Linked DNA regions of Arabidopsis thaliana. The protein of the gene in region 2 purifies or fractionates together with the protein of the main gene of each other region. This does not show direct contact. Each region holds a gene or a part of one and is shown on either strand. Other genes may lie near its edges.

Region 1 (3,994 bases), about 16 Mb from region 2:
TTAACTGAGAAAAATTTGAAAAGACGACAAGTTAGCTGTGTTTGCAATCAAATGTTGCATTGATAGTATGTGTAGAATTGTTTTCCTGTTTTGTTAGTCATTTCTGTCTTTACTATTTATGTTTTGGAAGCCTATACCAAGGTCTGTCTGTCTTCTGTGTATGTGGATCAGTTCAAAGAAGACTCATATAAATTTGTATCGATATGTTTACTTTTCTTGAATAACTTAACTCTATTCCTACCTAAACAACTTTAAGTATTCATCGGTGAGTTTGCTCTGTGTATTACTTGTTACATCCATAAACTTCAGCTACTTTTCCAGGTTCTAGATACAAAAGAAGTTAGTTATAATTGTTGTTTTCATATCCAGGTTCTGCACACAAAACGGTTCAGCTTTGCTCCTCCAAAAGGATCTGCTGCAGCAGAAACGAATCCAAGCGAGCCTCTTCTTGCTGCTTTAGAAGGGAGCGCTCCAGGTTCCCTCGAGCAGTCTCTTGCATACCTTGATCTCTACATGGTGTCTCAGAATAATGTTGACACATGGCGTCGTGCTGCCTTCTTTGAGGAGTCCACCGAGACGTACAAAAGAGTAATTACTCTATGCTTGAGGCCTTTGGAAGAGCTTGCCTCCAAGTTAGCTTCTGGGCTAGACCACACCTTTACTGAAAAAGGTTATCAGACACCACTCCAGCCACCAACCGAGTCCTTTATTGATCCAAAATTCGGCGAATCACTTAAGTCTTTCCAGGTAAAACGAAATTCAAATTTTGATCCCTTTTCTATGTGATAATTTCTTCATGTAGCTGTAACCAAAATCTGTTTGCTCTGTATCCGATATTTGCAGCTATATGCATGGTGTGCTCAAACATCTGCATCCCTGACTTCAATCTCTCACAAGGAAGACAGGCTCGGAGTAGCTCAACTGTCTGGTGGAAACGCTGATGTTGTCTCAACACTTCTATCGCTTTTGCTAGCTATCGAAACGTTTATGGGGAAGAAGACTAATCTTCAATCACCTCAACAACTGATGGGACCTGCTAGTATCAAATGGGCGACCTCGAGTATGGTCAGAAAAGACGTTAAACCCATCAAAAGGAGTATTGGCGCAATGTACGCCTACGCATATGCAGCGACAGATGTTTTGAGGATATCAGTATACCAGATTCTATCCACATTCCGCGATGAAATGCTCAACAGCGACAGAGCCGGACTTCTTGGTAGAGATTGGATTGGAAGCAAGAAACCACCTTTTGGAACAAACGACATGCTCCTACAGAAGCTTAAGCTCTTCCTCGAGTTCCAAGCTTGATGGAAGATTAAAGAGGTACAATTCCTCGATTAAATGTGGTAACAAGTGTCATCATGATTCAAGAGCTGGATAGAAAAAGGAACTAGAGTATTTTGTTACATGATCAAAAAGCCTTGTATTGGAAAATGAAATCCCTCGATTTTGCAGAAATTTGGGATTAATCTTGTTTTTGGTAAACTAGAAAATTATATAAGAATCAAACTTTAATGGTAAGTTTTGCATCTTAAATCTTGATTACATAAATTTTGCAGAAGACTCTCTATATGCTTAACAGTAACTAACTCTTACGCAATTTACGAAGGAAACCAAAATTAGAATCTGAAATGGGCCAGAGATTTATTAGGGCCCATGGCGTGGCTAATAGTAATATCGAAGGAGAGATCGTGACCGTTGGATGATGATTAATATAATAATTGTATAGTGGTTAAAGCTTAGATTGGCTACATTACACATCGCATTTACTTAAAGGGCAAAACCCTCCAGCGCCGCTTGGATCTCTCTCTCCTCTGTTCTCTCTTCCCTTATCTTCTTCTTATACCCTTCGACCAACGAAGAACCCTAGAAATCGATTAACAAGGTAAGCCCACTTCAGCAAATCGTTCACTCATTTCATTTCCAAGATATTCGATTGTTTCCTTCTGATTTAGCACAAGGGTCAAGATCATTTTTTTGTTTTTGTTCTTCCTCGATTCATATGTTTTTTTTCATTGATTACTGTTTTTGATATTGGTTATCTTGTTTTCCAATAACTTGTTAGTTAGTTAAAAGTAATGTTTGTGTAATGGTGACCTAATCGATTGAAAAAATTGAAACTTTAGGTTAAGCTCATTGTAACAATACGAGCTTTGTTCTTCTCGCTGCACTGTTCTCATAATCCTAGTGTAATCAATTTGTGGGTTGTGACTATTGCTCAGTATTACTGTTTTTGTCATTGGCTAATTAATAACAGTATTAGTTATTGTATATGCTTAATTTATAAGATACATTTTGGGCTAAATGGGTTTAGCTTTGTGTGTTTGTTTTGAAAAACAGATGAATAGGGAAAAGTTGATGAAGATGGCTAACACTGTCCGCACTGGCGGAAAGGGGACAGTAAGAAGGTATACTCATTTATGTCTTTTCTGTGAATTTGTGTTTTTGCCATTTTTCATGTTATATTCTCTAAACATTTTGACTCTCATTTCAGAAAGAAGAAGGCTGTTCACAAGACCACTACAACCGATGACAAGAGGCTCCAGAGCACTCTTAAGAGAGTTGGAGTCAATTCCATTCCCGCCATTGAAGAAGTTAACATTTTTAAGGATGATGTAGTCATTCAGTTCATTAACCCTAAAGGTAAAACATCAAATTTTATGGCTTTATAAATCTCAGGTTTCGTATAAAATTTATTGTATTAATGGTTGTTGTGTCTCTGTTTTAATGTTGCTATCACAGTTCAAGCTTCAATTGCTGCTAACACATGGGTTGTGAGTGGTACACCACAGACGAAAAGTAAGTGTTTGTATCCTCATTGTTGATCCAATACTATTCTCGGTTTATGCATAGTCTAATCTCGGAATGTGAATTATCCTGCAGAATTGCAAGACATTCTTCCTCAGATTATCAGCCAACTTGGTATGCAGCATTAAGTGTTACACTCTGATGTCCTTTCCCAAACCAGTGGTCCCTTAAGTTAACATTTTGTTTTCTTGCTTTGATAATCGCAGGACCAGATAACTTGGACAACCTGAAGAAGCTAGCAGAGCAATTCCAGAAACAAGCTCCAGGTGCAGGTGATGTCCCAGCAACAATCCAAGAAGAGGACGATGATGATGATGTCCCAGATCTTGTAGTGGGAGAGACTTTCGAGACCCCTGCTACTGAAGAGGCTCCCAAAGCTGCTGCTTCTTAGAGGAGGAGGAAGAAGAAGGAGAAGAGCTCACCTGCAAAACCCATCATAAAAATGTTTGTCGCTCGACCTCTTCTGAGCACTGTCAGATTCTTGTTTTCTCTAATGCTTGCGAACAGAAAGACTTGGTTTTATTATCACTTGATGCTTTTTGGTCCGAACAGCAATTTTCCTTTTATTAAGGTTAGATCGCTTTTTGTTTACCACCTGTTCAAATGAGTACTACTATGTCCTGTCGCTTCATACACTTCTTGCAACACAGTCCTTTGTTTTGAGTCAACGATGTCTTGAGATGAACAATCAACAGTTTCGTACATTTAAATGGAAATTCCAAAGATTTTACATATTTCCAATTATTGGATGTAAACATTCCATAGAAATACAACACTCTGAATGCAATCAAGTAATCATGATTGTTTCGTTTTCGATCTCTTCCGCTTTCCCCTGTTGTGCTAGTGTTTCGTAAAGCGGAGCGTTTCGAGTTTCTCGTAGCCAGAGACTCACGATGCCGCTCAGCACTGATGCAACACCAAACACGATGAACGACATCATTGCGCTTTCCCTTCCTAACGCAACTAGCAGTGGTGCTGCAGACGCTCCTAGCATAAACGCTTGACGCAAAAGTGAGACAGCAGTGTTCCTAACGTTTGTTGGGAACAGCTCTACGCAGTAGACATATAGGACGTCATACGCTGTCGAGGATGCCATGAACCCAACCGCCTCAACTGCAAGTTGTAACCATTTTGCCACAGATATCGCACGGATCACGCGGTGGATCGAGAGAACCGCGCAGAGCAG
Region 2 (3,234 bases):
CGAAAATCTGTTACTTGCTACGGAACTAGTCAAGGACTATTATAAAGATTAAGTCTCTACCCGTTGTGCTATTAAAATAGATATCTCGAAGGCGTTTGACTCGGTCCAATTGGCTTTTCTGCTGAATGTTTTATTGGCTATGAATTTTCCTGCGGTTTTTATACATTGGTTAAAACTGTGTATTACTACGGCCTCTTTTTCAGTCCAAGTAAATGGCGATCTCGCTGGTTATTTCCAAAGTGCAAGGGGTTTACGTCAGGGTTGCTCTCTCTCGCCATATCTGTTTGTCATAAGCATGGATGTCCTCTCAAAGATGTTGGATAAGGCTGCCGGAGCTCACAAGTTTGGTTTCCATCCTCATTGTCAACGTTTAAAGCTCACTCATCTAAGTTTTGCAGATGATTTGATGGTTCTAACGGATGGTAAGGTTAGATCCATATAGGGTATAGTGAAGGTTTTTGATGAGTTTTATAAGTACTCTGGGTTAAAAATAAGTATGGAGAAGTCGACAATGTATATGGCAGGAGTATCACCTTTAGTGAAAGCAGAGATTGCAGCTCTTTTCCCTTTTGATATAGGTCAATTGCCAGTTCGATACTTAGGTTTGCCTCTTGTTACTAAGAGACTCATGGCTGAGGATTATGATCCTCTTCTTGAGCAGATTAGGAAACGCATCGCGTCGTGGACTTCACGCTACCTCTCATATGCAGGTAGCTCAACTTGATTCAATCTATCCTCTGGAGTATTTGCAATTTCTGGCTAGGCGCTTTTCGTTTACCGAGACAGTGTATCCGAGAGATTGACAAGATTTGCTCCGCTTACCTATGGTCGGGTTTAGAACTGAGTTCAAAGAAGGCAAAGATATCGTGGGAAAAAGTTTGTAAGCCGAAAATAGAGGGGGGTTTGGGTTTGCGAAGCTTGACAAAAGCTAATGATGTTTGTTGTTTAAAGTTGGTCTGGCGAATCATTTCTAATAGCAAGTCTTTATGGGTTCAATGGGTCACCACATACCTTCTTAGGAGGAAGCATTTTTGGACATTGAAGCAGAATACAAATGCAGGCTCTTGGATTTGGAGAAAAATACTAAAGTACAGAGACAAGGCGAAATAATGTGTACAATGCATCATTCTCTACCAAAGAAACGTGGCACCATATCAGAGCTCCTTCTCCCACAGTCCCCTGGTACAACGGGGGTTGGTTCAATCACGCCACACCAAAGTTTTCGTTTTGTACTTGGCTCGCGGTCCAAGATAGGCTCTCAACAGGGGAGCATATGGTTAAATGGAACAGAGGAGAATCGGGTCTCTGTGTGTTTTGTACTAACACTATGGAAACTCGTGATCATTTGTTTTTCTCCTGCAACTATGTCTCGACAATTTGGGGTGACGTAGCTAAGAAGCTATGGAAGACCAGATTCACAAAGGAATGGCCACAAATTCTGGCCTATGTTTCAGACAAGTCATTACAGCGAGTCGATGGTTTCTTAATCCGGTATGTCTTTCAAGCTACAATACACACAGTTTGGAGAGAGAGGAATGGGCGTCGTCATGGAGAAACACCGAACACCACGTCACACTTGATAACTTGGATAGATAAGCAGGTGATCGAAGATATGACAAGGGCAACGTACAGCTCACTCTAAACATTCTCTAAACACCTTTAATTTCTAACTATTTTTTTTCTCAGCTTTTCTCATTTTGCTAAACGTTGCACGAGTTGTAAAAACGTTTTGTTTTTTTTTGAATATAATTTAACATTTTTTCAAAAAAAAAAGAAGAGTAAATCAAATCTCTCTTTTACTCTTTTTCTTGATCGATTTGAAAGATTCTTCATTCACTCGAATGTTTCTTATATTACATGTGCAGAAGATATGCGTAATGTTTCTTATATTACATGTGCAGAAGATATGCGTGGTCCTATCGAAACAGTGATACGATCTGGAGCTGTACATCGTCTCATTCAGTTTCTTCTCGATGAAAGTTTCCCTAAGCTTCAAGTTAGAAGAAAAATTTCCCCCATCAAGTTGATGTTTTTATTGATGATCAGTGTAATCTTTGATTCTGATATATATACAATGATTCAGGTGCACAACATAAAACAATTTGTCTATTTGCTATCTCACTAAACTAAACTGTTTTCCCCTGGTGATAACAGTCAGTAATCGATGCAAATTTGATTCCAACCTTGGTCAAACTGACTCAGAATGCTGAATTTGACATGAAGAAAGAATCTGTATGCGCAATTTCAAATGCGACCTTACTTGGTTCTCATGATCAAATCAAGTACGTCCCTGTCTTATTTCTTTCTTTTTGCACTTTCAACTTAACATGCTTATAGATGATCATCAAAGTCACAATCTCCATTTATTGGTGTGATTCAGATACATGGTGGAGCAGAGCTGCATCAAACCTTTATGTGATATCCTGTTTTGTCCAGATGTAAAAACCATCTTAAAGTGTCTGGATGGAATGGAAAACACATTGAAGGTTGGAGAGGCTGAAAAGAACGCAGGAGACGACGTGAGCTGGTATACTCGACTGATCGAAGCGGAAGGGCTAGATAAGATTTTGAACCTGCAAAGACACGAAAACATCGAGATCTACGACAAGGCTTTGAAGATTCTGCAGACTTACTGGCTTGAAGAGGATGATGAGGATATACAACAACCTCCAAGTTAATAATCTAGTTAAGTAACATCATTTGTTCAAATATCCTAAAAGATAAGAAAATTCTTTTGCTTATTTCTATTGGTACTTTTTTAACAATACCAGAGAAAACTTCCAAGCATAAACTGTGATACTAAACAGCTTCTGAATCTAATAATCCAAGAGAATAATTACAATGACTTGACTCTCTAATGGTTCACACAAAACCAAGCCTTTATGTCTCTTAACCTCTTGGATTTTTCGGTTCTCACCATAACAAAGGCCTCCCTGAACCTCCCATTGTTCCTATGATCACCCAAAACAAAGCACATAAAGCCCCAATGATCGATAAGCAAAAGAAACCTTTGTTCTTCTTCTTCTTCTTATCGTTGTTTCCTCCAGACTTGTTCCTCTTCACTGCTGAGTCACTATCCATAACAACAACATTATTACCTGTGCTTTTAGAAGTAAACCTGAAACGACCACCACTGGTTGACATTCTAACAAGGTTCAGCTTCACAAATGGATTCTCTGATGCATATGCTGGCTTTGCAGGAATGGATTCCAGGAAAGTCCATACACTAGAAGC
Region 3 (4,033 bases), 5.8 Mb from region 2:
GGTCCGGTTTAATTGCAATAGGCCAATAACGTAACGATGGAAAAGTAAGCGAAATGGGCGGAGAGTGAGGTGACTATTTTATTTAGGCCCATGGGCCAGGATCCATAAACTGAATAACAAAATATCCGACACCGATTCAGATCGCCGGCGGATATTCAGATCTCCTCCACATTACATTCTCCAAGGAATTTAACCTTTACCTACAAATCTAAGCTTCTGTCGTTGACTTCGAAAACTGATATCTATAAGTCAAAATCCCCATTCTCAATCGCTCATCGTCTTGTAGAACTAATTGACTAAACAATGGCGGACAACACAGGATCCGGTACGTCCATCTCTCTATTTTATGTCTGAATATAATGTTTCATGTCTATATACGGAGTTTTGTGGAATTGAATTTAGATTTTCGTGGAAATTTTGGAACCCTAGGTCTTTGATCCCTCGTAATTCTGTGCAGAGATGAAATCAGGTTCGTTTATGTTAGAGAAATCCGCCAAGATCTTTGTCGCTGGACATAGGGGATTGGTTGGATCTGCCATTGTCCGCAAGCTCCAGGATCAGGGTTTCACCAATTTGGTCCTTCGAACCCATTCAGAGCTTGATCTCACTAGCCAATCAGATGTTGAATCTTTCTTTGCTACAGAGAAACCAGTTTATGTCATCCTAGCTGCTGCTAAAGTCGGTGGGATTCATGCTAACAACACATACCCAGCTGATTTCATTGGGGTCAATCTCCAAATCCAGACCAATGTGATCCACTCTGCTTATACACACGGTGTGAAGAAACTCCTCTTCCTTGGTTCATCTTGCATTTACCCCAAATTTGCTCCTCAGCCGATTCCCGAATCTGCGCTTCTTACCGGTCCGCTCGAACCGACAAACGAATGGTATGCGATCGCCAAGATCGCGGGTATTAAGATGTGTCAAGCTTACCGGCTTCAGCATCAGTGGGATGCTATCTCCGGTATGCCCACGAATCTGTATGGTCAGAATGATAATTTCCACCCGGAGAATTCCCATGTGCTGCCTGCTCTCATGAGGAGGTTTCATGAAGCCAAAGCCAATAATGCTGACGAAGTTGTGGTTTGGGGAAGTGGAAGCCCGTTGAGGGAGTTTTTACATGTCGATGATTTGGCTGATGCTTGTGTTTTCTTGATGGATCAGTACAGCGGATTTGAGCATGTGAATGTAGGAAGTGGTGTTGAAGTGACGATCAAAGAATTGGCTGAGTTGGTGAAAGAAGTTGTTGGGTTTAAAGGAAAGCTTGTTTGGGATACCACAAAACCAGACGGGACACCAAGGAAACTGATGGATAGCTCGAAGCTTGCGTCTTTGGGATGGACACCGAAGATTTCGCTTAAAGATGGCCTCTCCCAAACTTATGAATGGTATTTGGAAAATGTTGTGCAGAAGAAGCAGTAAAAAAAACAAGGTCCAAAACACAAAGCAATATTCATTCTCTTTACACGTGAATGTTTATGCGTTTGATTTTTGGTTCTATACAGATCTCTCTATCTCTTTTATGTAATTTTTGTATTCATGGATTTCATACAGTTCAAGTTAAGCAAACTTACTTTGTAATAAATGTACCATTGTTGTTGAGATTATCAATAATCGAATAGCTTTCTTCTCTAAATTTTAGTCAACTAAACAAGTCTGTTCATTGATAAACTCATTTAGATAAATTTGTGGATTTTGAAATTCTGGTAACCAAAAGATTATGGTTTGCTACGCGCTAATACTGGTGATTGATTACGGCACAAAAGAGCCCAGTAAATAATTATTGGCCCAGTTTAGTTTTGGGCCTTATGGGCCAATATTATCATCGAGCATCCAACGGTAGTGATGGAGATTTCTTTATGGAATATCTGATATCCACCGTTAGATTAAGAGACGAGGTTGGCTCCGAATAGCATATAGTTAAAGGGCAAAACCCTGCGCCGCCCGCGTCTCTCCTCTCTCTGTTTCTTTTCTTTTTGTTTCATTTTCTTATCTCCTCACACTCTTCGAACAAGGAAGAACCCTAATCTCAAGGTAAATTCATTATCACTGTAATTTTCCTTTCTATTAGTGTTTTATCTCTCCGGTTCTAGGGTTTCTCTAATCCCCGATTTTGCAAAATGTCAGATATCTTTCTTTCTTGATTCATTTCGCTTCTTTCTGTAGATAGGATTAGTTTTTGTCGGTGTTTGGGAATTTACTGGGTTTTCAACTTCTCTGTGTGTTTGATTGGGGGATTTGGTATACCTAATCGATTGAAAATGATTAAATTTAGGTTAAAACTACTAGTCACATCACCGTGTCTTCATACGCATCTGAGTTTAAATCTGTTCGCGCTTACTTTCTTCTCACTAGTTTCTTGTATAATAAGAAGTTTTTGTGAATGTATTATTAGCAGTTAATGTGTTCATTGATTCTTTTGGAAGTGATTTGGGGATTGATGGATTTTGCTTCTTATTATGGTTTATACACAGATGAATAGGGAGAAGTTGATGAAGATGGCTAATACCGTCCGCACTGGCGGAAAGGGTACTGTCAGAAGGTATAGAGTTTTATTCAACCAATTTCATTGTTCAATACTTAGCATTTACTATGATTTGTGTTATGAAACCATTCGATTTTTACTTGCAGAAAGAAGAAGGCTGTGCACAAGACCAATACAACTGATGACAAGAGGCTTCAAAGCACTCTTAAGAGAATTGGAGTTAACTCCATTCCCGCTATTGAAGAAGTTAACATCTTTAAGGATGATGTTGTTATTCAGTTCATCAACCCTAAGGGTAAGTCATTTTTAACCATTTTTTATCTATACATCAGAACCTTTTTTTCATGTTACTGATCATTGTTCCTCCTTTGAATGTTACTACAGTTCAAGCTTCAATTGCTGCAAACACATGGGTTGTTAGCGGTTCTCCTCAGACCAAAAGTATTGCATCTCATAATATCTCTTAATCTCTACTTTCTTGTTTCTTCTTCATTTCATCTTCTCTGATTAATGTAAACGTGTTGCTTCCTGCAGAATTGCAAGATATCCTTCCTCAGATCATCAGCCAACTTGGTGTGTACCATGTAACTGTACAGCTCTTAAATGTTCTTCATCGATCCTAAGGTCTCTAACTTTATGTTACTTTGATCTCTTTCAGGACCAGACAACATGGACAACCTGAAGAAGCTAGCAGAACAGTTCCAGAAACAGGCTTCTGGTGAAGGTAATGCCGCCTCAGCAACCATACAAGAAGAGGATGATGACGATGTCCCAGAGCTTGTTGGAGAGACATTCGAAACTGCTGCTGAAGAGAAAGCACCAGCTGCTGCTGCTTCTTCTTAGAGAGAAAAGAGCGAGACCACATCCAAAAAAAAACCGCACTTTGATTTTTACATATCTTTATAATATGTTTGTTCGCTCGATCCTTTTTGTAGTTTCCGACCAGAATCTTGTTTTCCATCTAATGACTTAAGGTTTTTATCCAATTATTTGATGTCTTATTGATTCTTTGACAGCAAATCAGGTCCTCGTCTTCTTCTTCCTCTTCACTATGTGGATTAGAAGATTTTGATGTGACACATTGTCTTGTTGCATAAAAACCATTCCACCTGTACTGTATGAGTTTCTTCTCAAACTTTCCAGACATTTCATCACTTTCTCTACAAATTCTCTCTCAGAGACATGTCTATTCGTCGTCAAATCTCAATCTTTCTGAGTTTTCGTAAACCATGGCTTCTCTCTTTGTTTCTACTCCATCATCTTCCTTAACTCTTAAATCCTGTCACAGTTTGCATCTTCGTCGCTTTGACAGAGCAGAATTTTCGAACTTTGGGAAAGCTTCTGTGAATCAGACAACGAGAAGCAGACATTCTTTGAGATGTTCAGCGGAAGATGATCGCGTTCGTGAACCTGTGAACGAAGCTCCTTCTCCGGTGGCGTTAGCGGAGGAGCAAAAAGAAGACCACGATAACAATAATGCGCCGCCTTCTCCAGAGAGCAGTGAAGAAGAGGAGGAAAAGAAGTCGAAGCAGCAAGAGATGGATTGGA

Evidence for each region.
Region 1: the proteins of AT1G32880 (region 2) and AT1G73230 fractionate together in Arabidopsis thaliana (co-fractionation; one large-scale study listed by BioGRID). This does not show direct contact.
Region 3: the proteins of AT1G32880 (region 2) and BTF3 fractionate together in Arabidopsis thaliana (co-fractionation; one large-scale study listed by BioGRID). This does not show direct contact.

Annotation. Positions count from the first base shown.
Region 1 is NC_003070.9:27,539,711-27,543,704, reverse strand, and holds AT1G73230 (Nascent polypeptide-associated complex NAC), read left to right. Parts: upstream 1-1,752; 5' UTR 1,753-1,885; intron 1,886-2,340; coding exon 2,341-2,408; intron 2,409-2,494; coding exon 2,495-2,643; intron 2,644-2,742; coding exon 2,743-2,799; intron 2,800-2,883; coding exon 2,884-2,922; intron 2,923-3,014; coding exon 3,015-3,199; 3' UTR 3,200-3,477; downstream 3,478-3,994. Other genes in the region: AT1G73240 (nucleoporin protein Ndc1-Nup protein), read left to right, coding at 370-747, 844-1,308; OCT1 (organic cation/carnitine transporter1), read right to left, coding at 3,596-3,994.
Region 2 is NC_003070.9:11,913,372-11,916,605, reverse strand, and holds AT1G32880 (ARM repeat superfamily protein), read left to right. Parts: upstream 1-1,870; coding exon 1,871-1,996; intron 1,997-2,154; coding exon 2,155-2,282; intron 2,283-2,380; coding exon 2,381-2,678; downstream 2,679-3,234. Other genes in the region: NAC13 (NAC domain protein 13), read right to left, coding at 2,914-3,234.
Region 3 is NC_003070.9:6,151,867-6,155,899, reverse strand, and holds BTF3 (basic transcription factor 3), read left to right. Parts: upstream 1-1,917; 5' UTR 1,918-2,034; intron 2,035-2,474; coding exon 2,475-2,542; intron 2,543-2,631; coding exon 2,632-2,780; intron 2,781-2,869; coding exon 2,870-2,926; intron 2,927-3,019; coding exon 3,020-3,058; intron 3,059-3,143; coding exon 3,144-3,328; 3' UTR 3,329-3,516; downstream 3,517-4,033. Other genes in the region: GER2 (NAD(P)-binding Rossmann-fold superfamily protein), read left to right, coding at 304-325, 458-1,422; EGY3 (ethylene-dependent gravitropism-deficient and yellow-green-like 3), read left to right, coding at 3,715-4,033.